3 linked regions of the Caenorhabditis elegans genome follow. The protein of the gene in region 1 purifies or fractionates together with the protein of each later gene. This does not show direct contact. Each region holds a gene or a part of one and is shown in the gene's direction. Other genes may lie near its edges. The genes, in order: glf-1, B0280.9 and ech-5.

What was found.
Region 2: the proteins of glf-1 (region 1) and B0280.9 fractionate together in Caenorhabditis elegans (co-fractionation; one large-scale study listed by BioGRID). This does not show direct contact.
Region 3: the proteins of glf-1 (region 1) and ech-5 fractionate together in Caenorhabditis elegans (co-fractionation; one large-scale study listed by BioGRID). This does not show direct contact.

What each region holds. Positions count from the first base shown.
Region 1 is NC_003282.8:5,883,781-5,888,869, forward strand, and holds the start of glf-1 (Amine oxidase domain-containing protein), read left to right. Parts: upstream 1-2,054; 5' UTR 2,055-2,055; coding exon 2,056-2,175; intron 2,176-2,253; exon of another isoform or gene 2,254-2,274; intron 2,275-2,535; exon of another isoform or gene 2,536-2,557; intron 2,558-2,761; coding exon 2,762-3,052; intron 3,053-3,749; coding exon 3,750-4,085; intron 4,086-4,181; coding exon 4,182-4,343; intron 4,344-4,379; exon of another isoform or gene 4,380-4,400; intron 4,401-4,486; exon of another isoform or gene 4,487-4,507; intron 4,508-4,568; coding exon 4,569-4,760; intron 4,761-4,771; exon of another isoform or gene 4,772-4,792; intron 4,793-4,864; coding exon 4,865-4,993; intron 4,994-5,006; exon of another isoform or gene 5,007-5,027; intron 5,028-5,089. Other genes in the region: H04M03.11 (uncharacterized protein), read right to left, coding at 140-300, 743-749.
Region 2 is NC_003281.10:7,120,248-7,125,336, reverse strand, and holds B0280.9 (U3 small nucleolar RNA-associated protein 18 homolog), read left to right. Parts: upstream 1-2,441; 5' UTR 2,442-2,445; coding exon 2,446-2,601; intron 2,602-2,706; coding exon 2,707-2,782; intron 2,783-2,828; coding exon 2,829-3,037; intron 3,038-3,085; coding exon 3,086-3,266; intron 3,267-3,317; coding exon 3,318-3,418; intron 3,419-3,475; coding exon 3,476-3,569; intron 3,570-3,616; coding exon 3,617-3,749; intron 3,750-3,987; coding exon 3,988-4,327; 3' UTR 4,328-4,432; downstream 4,433-5,089. Other genes in the region: B0280.2 (uncharacterized protein), read right to left, coding at 1-30, 76-167, 391-483, 570-650; rpia-1 (Probable-ribose 5-phosphate isomerase), read right to left, coding at 1,179-1,478, 1,603-1,845, 1,893-2,045, 2,093-2,152. UniProt on the Caenorhabditis elegans protein: Involved in nucleolar processing of pre-18S ribosomal RNA.
Region 3 is NC_003282.8:794,450-799,538, forward strand, and holds the start of ech-5 (Enoyl-CoA hydratase, mitochondrial), read left to right. Parts: upstream 1-2,573; 5' UTR 2,574-2,574; coding exon 2,575-2,695; intron 2,696-2,740; coding exon 2,741-2,808; intron 2,809-2,854; coding exon 2,855-3,025; intron 3,026-3,108; coding exon 3,109-3,205; intron 3,206-4,464; coding exon 4,465-4,871; 3' UTR 4,872-5,089. Other genes in the region: skr-18 (Skp1-related protein), read right to left, coding at 303-810, 914-957; F56B3.11 (Mitochondrial import inner membrane translocase subunit Tim21), read right to left, coding at 1,369-1,660, 1,717-2,010, 2,058-2,113.

The sequences.
Region 1 (5,089 bases):
TTCAAAAATGTTTTTAAAAATTTGGTGAAAATTGTTTTTTTTTCATTTTACATATTCATAATGCCCATTTAGTTTTAATATTTTTTATTTCAGATTATCATCCTTCTTCATATCATCAGAACACATCCCCACAATATACCTGACAAGTATCGAAATCGCTAAACGGTTCAATTGACGGAAACGTGGCAGTTTCCGTGGATTTCTTAGCCATCGTTGAAAAAGCCGATTCAGATTGCAAAACTGTGATTGTAATTAAAAATAAAATTGTAATTGAAAAATATGTCCTTGTGTTTAATAAATCTGAAAATCTGGGGTTTTCGGAAGTAGGGCTGTGCGGCTGATGACTCGGCTGATGGAGCAAATCAACGTTTTTCAACGTATTAGCAATGATCAATTAGGGAATACTTGTATTTGCCATATCGGCTGAGTCTTGAGCTTCTAATTCTAGAAAAAAGTTTTTTAAAAAGTGCACACCCCTTCCAGAAAAACTCGTTTTTCCAATCAGCCTACAGCCGACAGCCGAGTTACTCGGCTGATTCAAAAAGCCGACTGTTTTGTCAAGGTGTGTGCACTTAAAAAAAAACGTTTTTCTAGAATAAGAAGCTCATGACTCAGCCAATACTGCAAATACAAATATTCTTTAATTGATCAGTGCTAACACGTTGAAAAACTTGATTGTCTTCATCAGCCGAGTCATCAGCCGCACAGCCCTATTCGGAAGCACAATTTTCATTTTACTTACGTCTCATTTTTCGAAGTTTAATCTCAAAGTTGAGTGATAAGAAATAATTAGAATGACAGGAAACGTGGAAGTTTTGTCTTAAAAAATCTACGTTCAGATTGTTTTAAAAATTCAGGAAAGTCCACGTAAATAATAGTTTTAAGAAAATTAGAATTGTAACAGTTAGGAGTTAGAGAGCATGTATTATTTTTGGTAAGTTCTCTGTTACAAGTGCCAACCAAATATTTTCAAGGTGTGATGTCACAATTATTTTTTAAGGATATCTTATGGAAAAAAATCGCATGTCATTCAGTGAAAAAATCGGTTTTTTTTTTCATTTCTACTTTTAAGCCCATTTTAAATTTTGAAACAAATATATCAACTTTAAGTTATTTATCATTAAAGCATCAATGACTAGACTACATACACTCATAGACTGATCGTAAAAAGTTATACCCAACACCTTCTGTGGTATCGTGAAACCGTAAGTTTTTAAGCGATATACACATAAAAATTAATTACTATTTTAAAAATTGTTACCACTGCGAGACCAATTTGAAGGATTCATTGCATAACTTTTCAGACATTCAACTATAATTCGAAGCAGATATTTCAGTCTAATTTCCTATAATAACCGGAAATATCCAACGATTGTTGATCGGACTTTTGGATTCTTTAGACTCTCAAAATTCTTTGCATGACGTCAAAAGATTCTCAGTGTATTATTTGGATAGAAAAAATTGTCGAGCGCCCCAACCTCCCGCGTTTATCTCATTTGCAGATCATCGACTTCAAAATCCCGTTCCAAATTCCGTATCCAGAATCGGATAAAAACTTCTAAGCAAGAGATAAATATCATTTAAAAAGGGAAGCAGCTCCGCAATCTCAAATTTTGATCTGCAATATCGGCTGTCTAACAATTTTTGCCCTTTCTAACAGATAATCAGATCAACAACACGAATTGGGCGGAGTCAGTGGTGGATCTTTGAGAGTCTGAGAAGGTGGGGAAAAGTACAAAAGGACAGGTTCTCTGGCACTCTTGAATATCTATTGATTCCGCCTTTATTAATTTTCACTAGAAGCAATTAATACACCGATAGGCATTGAAGGGGGTGAATATCTTCCTCTCACTTATCAACAATTTACGATCTCTCATTCTTCTCAAGGATCTGGGTCAAAATCCAATCCTTTTCCTTCTCCATGCATTTTCTCTTTTCCTCGCTCATTGTTTAGAAACGAGATTCTCCGTGTTCTCTTGGCTTCTTTATTCGCTTTCTTCTCTCATTTGATTTACAGTTACAATATGTTACAAAATCATTTAATTGTTCTTCAGAATGAAGATCGTTTGCATTGGTGCTGCACCAACGGCTCTCGGAGCTGCCTACCGGCTCAATGAGCTCAAAAACGAGGGAAACGAGGCTGCTCAAAACGCTGAAATTGTTCTTCTTGAACAGGTTTGTGTGCATTTTTGAAGACTAAAATTTGCGGTTTCACGTTTTACATATTACATAATTTAATAATTCGTTCTTCAATCATTATTGTTTTCCACTTTTTGCGCACTGTTTTTATTTTCATTTTCCCCGGTCAAAGCGTGAAATGATGTTTTGTCTCCTCCTTCTTACTCTTAGCTCCCTTCCAGAAGCCTTTTGTACAATTTTTGGTAACAAACTTTGAGATCTATCGGGCGAGATATGGGGAAAATGTGACGTGACGCGAACTGCTACCGGTATAATAATGGAGACGATTACTGAAAATCAAAAATTTTAACTGTTTCTCGTTTAGTATTTGACTAACAGACTAAAATCTCGTTTTCATTTTTTTTTCTTGCCTTTGAAAGATAATTTTAACTGTTCTCAAGGATATCAAAATAATGTTTTACGGAAATTGTGCCGTTAATGAAATAAAAAAAGGAATCTGAAAAATGTATATTTGGAAACAGTAAATATTTCTACCTCACAATCAGCCAAAATTTCGAGGATGTTAAAATAAATAAAAAAAAATAGCTCAATTTTTGTATTGATTCTAAAAATAATGTTTCAGGAGGCCATTGCTGGAGGACTCTCCTGCACTGTAACCGATGAGAAAGGTTTCCTCTGGGATATGGGAGGTCATATCACTTTCAATCACAACTACCCATACTACGAGAAGGCTACTCAATGGGCTGTTGATGACTGGAATAAGTTGGCAAGAAACTGTATGGTTGATATGAATTATTTGTATGACAAGAAAGGAATCCATTTGGTACCATATCCAGCTCAATTCGCTGTTCCATTGTTCCCGGATGAAGTTAAGAACCGTTGTCTTGCTGATTTGAAGGAGAGATATGAGAATGTAAGTGAAAAGAGAAAGGGAAGCTAAAACTTCATTAGATCAATATCTTCTTTGTGGATAACGGATATTAGTTTTATCTGAATTAAAAGATTTCATTTTGTTGAAATTCAAACTTTAAATAATAATTGGAAGTACATGATTGTAATTTATCAATACTCGGAAACAGTATTTTTTAAAGAGGGTGTAGTTGGTGTGGGGAAATTACTGAAACTCCCAGTAGGAATCTCTAAACAAACATTAAAAAAAAAGAACAAATATGTAAAGAGATAATTCAGCTCAAAATAAGCGGAACTGATTGAAATTCAAATTCCCGCGCAAAAATAACATTCTAGAACACCAATTAGCTGAACGGCAAATGAAATTTCAAAGCATTTTCGAACTTGATTTTTATACGGTTATTGAAAGTTTTTCTCTACTTTTTTGAAAAATTCTCTTGAGATTTATTTGGGAGAATAAAATTTGAATATGTTGTATGAAAACCGATTTTTGCGAATGATCACAAATATTATGTAGTTTGTGAATTAGTAGCCGGAAAACTGATAATTCTCCCACTTACCGTCTTCAATCCAACTTTCACGGAATTTCAGAAAATAGCATTAGAAAGTTACCTAAAATCTGCAGTTTTAATACAGTTTCGGACTAGACTTAACCACCCAGTCATGCTGGCTAAAAAAAAACATTCAAACTTATTTTACAGCCACAAGACGGAACTACCCCAGACAACTTTGAAGAATGGGTTCTCCAACACTTTGGACCAACAATTCTTAACACTTTCTTCAAACCATACACTAAGAAAGTATGGACTGTTGAGCCATTAAAAATGTCTCCAAATTGGGTTGGATCTCGTGTTGCTAAGCTTCCACAGGAGAAGCTCGAGGAGCTTTGCTCAATGGATCAAGCAGAGTTGGCTAATGCTGATTTTGGATGGGGACCAAATTCCTATTTCACTTTCCCAACTTATGGAGGAACTGGAAATGTTTGGAATTCGATGGCAAAGAAGTTGCCAAATGAGTGGTTCAAGTTCAACAATAAGGTAAGCGTATACTGTTTTTTGCGTGAAGTGAATTTTCTTTGAGTTTTAGTTTATTTGCTGGACCGTGCATTTAAACTATAAAAAATCCATTTCCAGGTCACCGGAGTCGATCACAAGGAGAAGACCGTTGAGATTCTTGAAAAGGGACAAACCGAGCCAACCAAGATGTCATATGATGTTCTTCTTAACACTGCTCCAATTGATCAACTTGTGAACAACACACAAATCACTGCTCCATTGGATATTGTTCATAATAAGGTTTGGATTTTTTAGAGTTTTGTAAAGAAAATCAGAATTAGCAGTTGGGTTGATCAAACTTGGATTGGTCCTTTAAAATGTATTTAACAGCAATGTGAAAATGCAAAAATAACATTTTGAGACAAAAGAACATTTATTTATTTTCATCTCAAGCATTCAACACGATGTTCCGAAAGAACAACATGTTATTTATTAGTTCGATGAAACAGTGAAAACAATTTCCAGGTGTTCATTGTGGGAGTTGGACTCCGCAAGCCAATGACCTCATTCCTCGAGAAATTCACATGGCTCTACTTCCCAGATCGTGAAGTTCCATTCTTCCGTGTCACAATTCTCAGCAGATACGGAGAAGTGACTCCAGATGGTGATAAGTATTGGTCTGTCATGTGCGAGTGTGCTCGGCCAATCGATGATCCGGTTAGTATTGTAATTTTTATCAATACAGTTCATTAAATTCGAACAAATTTTCATTCTGATCTAAAAAATGTGGAACAGCAAATTAAAATGAATTAGTTTTATAGATCACCGAGGAAGAGATGGTCAAGAAGACACTTGATGGACTTGTCATCAAGGATATGATCACTCGTGAGGCTATTGAGTCGGTTTATTCCATTACTTTGCCATATGGATACCCAATTCCAACTCCAAATGTAAGTAATTTCAATGAACATCGTATGGATCGTATTAAATTACCACACTTTAATTGAGTTTCAAGAGTAATGTGAAACAGTAGCAATTTGTTTTTA
Region 2 (5,089 bases), on another chromosome or scaffold:
TGTTCCTGCATTGTTTCAAACTTTTTGTCTCTATAATCATAGTGTTAGTTGAAATTAAATTATATTCAAGATTACCTAATAAGAAAATCAAATTGAACTGTTGGTTCCCAATCTGGATCTGCAGATGGTTCCATTACTATTATCCGGTAATATCGTTCCGTACTGTTCTGAAAAATTGAATTAATCGTCTGTTGAGTTTGAGTATTTCTTTGCAAAACTAAATTGGATTTTGCAAACAATCCTACTGCGACTCACTTCGAAAAAAGTATACATTTCTCATTTTGAAATAATTAATCTAGATTAATTGTTTGTTCTTCTAGTAGTTTTCATATGATAACATCTTTGCAGCTTTCTACCACAGTTCATCTTTTTAAAATTTATCGTACTTACTTTCAAAAACAATGCCACAGCGGTTCCCCCATTCGGTATCCGCCAATGCCCATTTTCAGAAAAAAGAAGTTGACAAATACCTGATGAAAGTATCTGAAATGAGCACAAGCTAGTTGAATTGAAACTACATTTGTCTTTAAGCAGAGACCGTGCCTATCTCTTAGTGCACAAAATCATACCTTATCGCTTGCCGATATTCCTCTTAGAACACTATTTTTTTCGTTGATCTCGAGGAAATCACTCAATTCAGATGTAATCATTTGGAAATTAAAATTTGAACAATCTGGAATGAATAGAATACGAATGATACGATTTGACGAAAGTGCTTTTTAATACAGCAATTGTTAAAAATTTTGAAATATTTACTTATTTCCCAACTTTATCAGTATTTTTGAAATTATTGCTCGCTCTTAATTTTACCGCCTCCAATGAGTCATTTAGGAAGCAAATTCTCATTTCTTTCAATCTTTAAGCTATCCTCGCCATTCATACACTTCAAGACTACTGTAATTTGAAATTAAACAGTTTCAGACACTTTACATCCAGACACTTTACATTTCAAAACGTTTTCAGAGTTTTCTAATTTTTTTTTCAGTTTTTTAAGAAAGACGTTTTTTCAACACAATTTTTATTGGGGCTATTCTAAGAACTACACGTATACTAGGAACATTGGGAATGAATGGGTACAATTTTCACAACAACTGGGAAGAGGAAAAGTGAAGTTTGGAGAGTGTGGTGGTGATAAGAAACAACTAATTTTCAATATGAACAAAATTCGATGCAAGTAGTCAGTGCTTCTTGGAATTGACAATTTCCTTGACAGATCCGTCAGAGTACGCGAAGAATACTGCGTCGACGCAACCGATGAATAATCCGGTTTCAACAATTCCTGGTGTATTGGCCAATCGTTGCTGAATCGCGAACCAATCTCTTCCGGATACGTTTTTCTCGAACTGCCAATCAATAATGAAGTTTCCATTGTCTGTCACAATTGGTCCGCACTTTTTGACAGCTTGTCGAAGTTGACAGCTTCCACCTTCAGCGCGTGGAATCGAACGTAGAAGTGGTTGAGCAGCAAGAGGTAGAACCTGCAATAAATCTCATTAAAAACAGTCAACATAACTACATCTATTTAGAAAAAACTATTGTTCTAAAGTTTATTCTTTAGTGCATCTTTCTTTACTGATAATTATAAAAAGTTAAATAATTTACCTCAATTGGGACATTCGGATAGCGATCACCCAAGTGTTTGGAATCTTTTAAATAATCAGCGATCACGTAAAAGTTTTTTGCAGCGGTTTGAACAATTTTTTCTTGAGCCAGACATCCACCTCCGCCTTTGATGCACGTGAACTGTCCGTCAACTTCATCAGCTCCATCAATACACACATCCAGTTCTGGATGTGAATCCAAATCGGAGACAGGGAGACCAGACTCAATCAGCCATTGTTTTGTCTGAAATACTTATTTATAACAATTGGGTTTGTTGAAAATCTGTTTACCAAAAAACTGGTTGGAACACAGATGATATCCTTGAGACTTCCATTCTGAAATCCTTGTTTAAGATATTCTACCAAATACTTGACAGTGCTTCCGGATCCAACACCAAGACGGCAACCACTTTGCACATATTTTTCACCGCAGGCAAACGCAGCCTGAAATGATTAATGAGGGTTGGAATTGGTCTTAATTTTTGACTTACTCGTTTCTTCGCCTGCTCAATAGGAGCCAGTTCTGCTTCAGGGCCGGTGGAGGTGACCATTCTGGCGGTTCGCAATACTCCTGATAATGGAAATTTTGTAGAAAACATACAAAAATGCTGAAAAGAAAACGAAAACAATAGTAAATTGATAAGAAAGACTGAAATTTTCAGCTGAAATACTGAAATTAATGAAATTCTGCATTGAGACGTGACGGTGTTTGCACTAAAACTACGATAACACACACTATTTGACGACAATTGCTTCTCATTTTTCTTTTTTCTTTTCCGAATTTTCTTTAATTTTCAGCTTATTGAATCTTTCATTAAGGTTATTTTGAACAATTTTCAGAGAAATGAGCAAACGGCCAGTGATTGAGTCTGAAAAGCCTGCGTGGCACGATGAGGACGACGATAATATGGTTGTGGCGGTTCCAAAAAAAGTGAAAATGACAATGCGAGTTGAACTCAAGCGAACCACAGACGAAGAACATGGAGAATTGGATTCAAAGGTAAATTTTTTTTAGAAATACGTTATTCAACGTGTAATAAAGATTATATAATTGAAAATAGGCAGAAGGATAAATTACTTCTGAAAAATAATTTTAATATTTTAGGAATACGTTGGTAGATTGCAAGAGGCGTTCAGAAAACGCCACGGAGGCACACCAAAATGGGCTAAGGCTGCTGCAGGTTTTTGGAAAATCAATAGTTCAAAAATCGTATTTTACAATTTTAGGAGACGAAGAAGAAGGGTCATTGTTGAAAACTGCTGCCGGATATTTGGCGAAAGACGTGAATTTACCAAAAACAACTATTCATACAACTCTTATAAAAGATTTCAACATCGGACACCGATACACTCGTGGAATCACTGTTGTTAAATTTCATAAAACCCGACCAGTGCTCATTGTTGCCGATCAAGGTGGAAATGTTCAACTTTTTAAAGTAAGTTGTGTTTTCTGTTTTAATTAAACCATTCCTTACTTATTTCAGGTAAGTCGTGAGGTTAAAAAGGATCGTTTCCTTCAAAGTGCGAATTTCTCAAAATTCCCGATTGATAGTCTGGAAATTGCTGATAAAGGACACTCTGTGATCTGTTCTTCAAGCCGAAAGGAATATTTGATGCAGTACAATATGGAAACAAGAGAAGTGACACAGTTGAAACCTCCAAACAGTACGTTTAATATTTAATAAAATTTGAAGCAAAACTTTGAACATTTTACAGCAGTACCAAAGCAAGGAATTCGGCTCTTTGCCATTTCGCATGACTCTCAATTTTTGGCAATTGCAGGACACAATTCTCACATCTATGTTCTCCATGCTACTGTATGTCAAAAAATTAAATTATTGGCAAATTAAAAGTTTAAATGTAAAATGTTTCAGTCGATGGAGCATATCACAACAATATCACTCCCAGCAAATGCGTCAGAAATCAAGTTTTTCCCATCGCACAGCCGTGAAATTTGGATCATCTGCGGTTGGTTTTATATTGCCAAAAATTCAAAAATTATTCGAAATTTCTAGAGACCGGCCAAATTGTGATCGCAAACATTGGATTGCCGGGAACCAAATCATCGCAACATACATTCACCGACGATGGAGCTGTGCACGGAACAACACTCGCCATCAGCCAACATGGAGATTACTTTGCGACTGGGTAAGCTTTTTTAAAATCAAACTTTTATAATTCGTAAAATCACGATACTGTCATTCATTCATATAATTCATATATTAATATAATTGTACAGTTTGCTACATCTTTTTTTTTGTTGATATTTTCAGTTTAGCAACAAAAATTTAAAAAAAAAAATCTTTTTTTGTTGAATTCCGGTGAAAATAAATGACCTAGTCTTTACATACATCCTGATTATATGATGAAAATTTGAAATTTCCAGAAGTGATACCGGAATCGTGAATGTCTATTCTGGAAATGATTGCCGCAATTCTACAAATCCTCGTCCACTTTTCAATGTTTCTAATCTCGTCACCGCGGTCTCATCAATCGCTTTCAATTCTGATGCTCAATTGATGGCAATTTGTTCAAATGTCAAGGACAATCATCTTCGTCTCGTCCACGTGGCAAGTCAGACAACATTCAAAAACTTCCCGGAAAGAAACGGAAAAGTGACACATGCAAGATGTGTGGAGTTTTCTCCAAATGGAGGATATATGGCCGTTGGAAACGATGATGGACGTCTTCATGTTTTTGAAATTCATCATTTTACAGACTATTAATTGGTTCTAACATTGTTATTCTTTTCTTTGTCGTTGATTTCGTCCAAATTGTTTTGTTTTTATTCTTCATCCGTTTTTTTGTTGTTATGAAAATTTATCGTTTTTATTCCAACTTCCAGAGCAGCTTTTGAACCACTGGAAGATTTAAAAATACAAACCGACGTTTGCACAAAAAATTCAAAAACAGTTGAACGTAGTCCTAGTCTGTACCGAAAAATGACTTGATCGTTCTTTGTACACTATAGTGACATAGAATTGTCTCAATAGTCGCCAGTTAGAAAAGGGTTGAACAACACAACGAACGATCGAAAATGACGAAAAATTAACAATGAATGTCAGTTTTTCACGTGAAGTCTGGTAGAATTAGTATAAGAGGAACAAGAAAAGTTTAATTTGTTTCTCCAAAGTCCGTTTTTCGGCAGATTTTTCACTGGAGCACAATAACCAATGGTCTCTTACCGACCTACTTGTCACCCGATTTTATTGTGTTTTGATGTCTTAATTCTAGAATTGTGATCGTTGATTATTTGATTGAGAGGAAAACGAATTCAGATTTCTTATCGAAAAACCTACAATTATAACTTTTCCGATCTGTCAATTTGGCCATTTTTTAATTATTTTTTTTGAAGATTAAAAAAAGTTACCGTTTATTCTCTATTAGTGCGGCATCCCCATTGTTCAACTTTGACATCTCATATCTCGGTCATCTCTTGATTTCAGCCAAAAAACTTTAGCTAAAATGCTTATTAAATCTTTTTCTAT
Region 3 (5,089 bases), 5.1 Mb from region 1:
TTCTTCAAAAATGGGGAATTTTCGATTAAAAATCGCTATCATGTCTATAAAAATTGGAAGTTTTCACGATTCTAACGTAAAATTACTGGAAAATCTAAATCTCAACGATTTTTCGATAAAAAAAAATTCAAAAATAACACCGAAACACTGGATCGGACTTAGTATGAGCTGAAGAATATTTTAAAATAGAACTTTTATTGACGCAATGAAATTTTAACGATATACAGCACTAAATAGAAAAAAATCTTTTGCAATAAGACCGGCTTTATGTGAAATTGAATAAATTTGAAATGGAAAATCGATCAATCTGCCCAAGTATCAGTGGATGTAGACGGCTGCTGGCACGGCTCAGGAAGTTGGAAAATTTCTCGCATTTCCTCGGCGCTTTTCCCATTGATACGACTGGCGACTGTTTGGGTTCCATAATTCACGAGTCCGGTAATATCCAAATCATAGGCAGCTTTAATAACAGCTAGCAAGTTTCCCATCGGCAGTACACTGAAAAAATGTTGATCCCAGGACGGAATGACGACTTTCTTTTTGCCTTTTTCGGCTTTTGCAATCTCTGGATCGTCTCCCTTGTGTTGATCACACCATTTAATCAGTAGATCCAATGTGTATTCATGTTCATCAACAGGTATCGGCTTAATCTCCGCACAGTCTTCTTTATCATATCCTAGCTCTTTGATAGTTGTAGAAATAGTGCTGGAGAGCTGGAGAGCACGGATATCTGCCTGCAGCACCTCTCCATTGGAAGAAGCCAGTTGAAGTAGGCGAGGTGGTGCGCTTGGAGGAGCCGGCTTTGGAGCACTAAAAAAAGCGCGATTTCTGATTTTTTGAGAAAAAATTGCTGAAAAATAAAAAATTTTTAATGATTTTTCAATGAAAATTGGGAAAAATGCTATCAAAATACCTGGCTGGTGCACGTTTTTTATTGTTTTTCTTGTTCTTCGGCATCTGCTTTCTGGCCCAAATTTGATGTCTGAAATACACAAAATATAGGTTTTTTTAAAGTTTTTGTGTGAAAATTCGAAAATTTTCGATTGAAAATCGATATTTCAGCAATCAAAATTGGTAAATTTCCCGAAAATTGCTTAAGAAATCCTGTTTTTATCGCTTTTTCGCTAAAAACGTTTTTAAAATCGAAAAAAAAAATATTTCGAAAGTTTGTGCGTCAAGTTTGGCGCCGGGTACGCAGACACACCATCACGTCAGATTGCACACTTTCCAGATTTTTTTTGAAAAAAAAGTAATTTTCGAATAAAAATCGATGTTTAAGCTATTTTTTTTAACAAAATAATAAATCTAGATGCAATTTATTCAACAAAAAACCCTATTTAAACATAACAATCACCAGAAAACAAGAAATTATCGATTATCAATCAAAACATGGGTAGTTTTCGGTCGCCGCTTGTTCTCCACATACAAGAACCGCCACTGCCAATCTCCGTCTCGTTGCTCCATTTCAGCTTGAGCAATTCCCTCATCTCGGTCTCCTTTCACGTGGAAAAGCACCCGAATCCGCTGCATTCCGTCCTTCTCGTACTTGTGATGTGCCACGTGGCGGCGGCGTCCACGTGACGTTTCCTCGCCGAATCCGGCGATTGAGGCGCCGAATATTTCCTGACAACGGCCATCATCACGTACCAATGCGAGAGCTCTGCAAAAAATATTTGATTTAAATTGGTTTTTCCCGGAAAAAAGTGAAAAACCAACTTATTGAAAATTGTCTGCGGGGAATCTTGAGCGAAAAATTCCCCGGCGAGCACATAGATAAATGCACCAATTAGACCGATTCCAGCGACAACTGCCGTGTACATAAACGTGTTCGACGCCTTTTCAGCGACTTTTCCGCCAAATGTCGTCGGTTTCGCCTTCTCATGCACCAAAACTTCCTCCAAAATCGATCTCTGGAGCGCATGTTCCTGTTTTGAGGGTGATTTCTGTGATTTTTCAAGTGCTGTGATCGTTCGGGAGAAGCTGCGAAATTGGGATGGTGTTAGGAAGTAGCTGGAAGATTTTTCATTATTTTTCTCTAAAAATTGCCGAAAAGTTACCTTTTCAGCACATTTTGCGTGACTGCACCTGCACAAAGTTTGCTGAGCGGTGTCATTACCTGAAAAGTCAAAAAATTTGAAAAAATTTAAAGGAAAAATTAAGAAAAACGGAAAAAAACTGATTTTGAGAAAAAAATAATTTTAAAAATAGGAAATATTCCAAAGAGACACCACAGAATGCCAGGGAAACTGAAAATTGGAGAATGCAAGTCTATAGTTTTTCCTGCAGCTTAGAAGTGAAAATAAAAGTATTTCCAAGTCGCCTATTTTTATATTAAATTTTATTTTGATAAATTGATTTAAATCCACATTTTAAACAAAATTTTACTGAAATCATCTTGGAAAATCTCGCAGATTTCTTTCTAATAAAATTTTTTGCATCGTAATGCAAACGCGCTCTATCTACACATACTCCTCTCGGACAAACATTTATTTAATGAATTTTTGCGCGTTTTTAACCATTTTTCCACTATTTCTTGTCGAATTTTCACAATTTTTTTAATGATTTTTTTGCAGAATGTTGTCTCAAAAGATTCTTCTCAACCTCCGTGCCTTCGCCTTTCACCCACTGGCCTACAGCACCACCACAAACCCGGCTAACGAGGTTTTCATCGAAAGATTGACTGGAAAAGATGAAGGTGCGCAGCCTTTTTGATAATTTTTATTAAAAATTTTGCTTCCAGGAATCACAATTCTCAACATGAACCGTCCGGCGAAGAAAAACTCCTTGGGACGAGTTTTTATGGACCAGGTAGGCAGTTTTCGCAGAGTTTTGCCGCAAAAAATTACATTTCCAGTTCCGTGAGGTGCTCGACGAGCTCAAGTACGATCCAAAGACACGTGTGGTGATTCTCAACTCGAAATGCGATAATGTGTTCTGTAGTGGTGCGGATTTGAAAGAACGCAAGACTATGAGCCAGCAGGAGGCCACCAGATTTGTCAATGGGCTCCGTGACTCGTTTACTGATGTAAATAACTTGAATTAATCGATTTTCAGTCAAAAAATCGAGAAATTTGCGGTTTTTTCCCCTGAAAACGTCGAAATTTTCAGGTAGAACGCCTTCCACAGCCAGTTATCGCCGCAATCGACGGATTTGCACTGGGAGGTGGATTGGAGTTGGCACTGGCTTGTGATATTCGTGTTGCTTGTTAGTGAAAATAATTTTCCCTGGGGAAACACTAAAAAAAAAAATTTTTGAAAACGTCAAATTTAGTTCAAAATTCGAGAAAATACGTAATTTCCTGACTTTTCCACTTGTAAAATGCCAAATTTTGTCTAAAAATTCAATTTTAATTCAAAAATTACAAGTTTTAACGTGAAACTTCTATTTTCGGCAAAAATGCTCTTAAAAGCTTCTTAAAAGATCCTTTTCAGCAGAAAATGCTCAACAACTCAGCAAAAATCTCAAAATTTCCACCAATTTGGGTCAAAGAACCTCATTTTTGCTCTAATTTTCCCATTTTTTCTGCTGGAAAATCCAATTTTCAACCAAAAAATGCCGAAAAACTTAATTTTCATGTAGAAAAAGCGTAAAACTTTTCAGCTCGAAACTTTTTTTTTCAGTTTTGCATTAATTTCCCCATTTTTTCAGCGCAAAAGACAAAAAAAAAAGAATTTTATTCCGAAAATTCCCAATTTTTAGCCTAAAAATCTGAAAAATTTGAACCATTTTGACTCCATTTTCAGCAAAAAAAAAGCATAAGAATCTAAAACTTTCAATTATTTTTAAGTAAAAAACTCTTTTTTCTCTCATTTCTCAATTTTTGCGCAAAAATGCCTAAAAACCTGCATTTTTTGCGCAAAATGCTCTAATTTTCATGTAAAAAACGTAAAAATTAGGATTTTTCAGCTCAAAACTTATTTTTCTTCGATTTTGCATTAATTTTCCCATTTTTTCAGCACAAAAAGCCAAAATAAGTCTATATTGAGTGAAAAACTCATTTTTGCCCTAATTTTCATGTTAAAAAACGTAAAAATTCGAATTTTTTAGTTTTAGCTTTTCATAGAAATTTACCTTTTTTCCCAAAAACTACGAAAATTTCGGTTTTTCATCACAAAAATCGTGAAAATTGCCATTTTTTGACTTAAAAATCCAATTTTTAAGTAAAAAATACTTGAAAATCTCCATTTTGAGTCAAAAAACCAAAGTTTTGCTCCAATTTTCCCATTTTTTCCAGCTCAAAAAGCCAAAATGGGTCTATTTTGAGTAAAAAACTCATTTTCGTTTCATAGAAAATTGCATTTTTTCAACACAAAAAATACGAAAATTTTAATTTTTCAGCTCAAAAATCGTGAAATTTTCCATTTTTTGACTTAGAAATCCTTTTTTTCAGGCAAAAATTTCAAAAAATCTTCATGTTGAGTAAAAAAACCTAAGTTTTGCTCTAAATTTATCCATTTTTTCAGCTCAAAAAGCCAAAATGGGCCTAGTCGAAACAAAATGGGCTCTAATTCCCGGCGCCGGAGGTTCTCAACGTCTCTACCGTATTGTCGGAGTCGCAAAAGCCAAAGAGCTCATCTACACAGCTGAAGTGCTCAACGGAGCCGATGCTGCCAAGCTTGGAGTCGTTAATCACGTCGTTGAAGCCAATCCAATCGAAAAATCACTGGAAATCGCACGAAAAATCATTCCAAGAGGCCCGATTGCTGTGAAATTGGCCAAATTGGCAATTAATTTGGGCTCTCAGACTGATATTACCAGTGCTTTGAGTGTTGAGCAACAATGTTATGCACAAATTGTACATTCAAAAGATCGATTAGAGGGAATGGCGGCTTTTGCTGAGAAGAGAGATCCTATTTATAAGGGCGAATAAATTTTGGGAGAAAAGGGAGAAATTCGGCGGGACATTGAGTGAAAAATCGCGAAAATTCGACGAAAAACGAGTGAAAATTGAATTTTCTTGGATTTTTGGATTTCTGGCAATTTCGGCCCGAAATTCAGAAAAAAAAATTAGTGAAAAATCGTAATTCTCGAAAAACTTGAATTTTTCACAAATTTTCTGCGATTTTTGATTTAAAAATCGACTTTTCA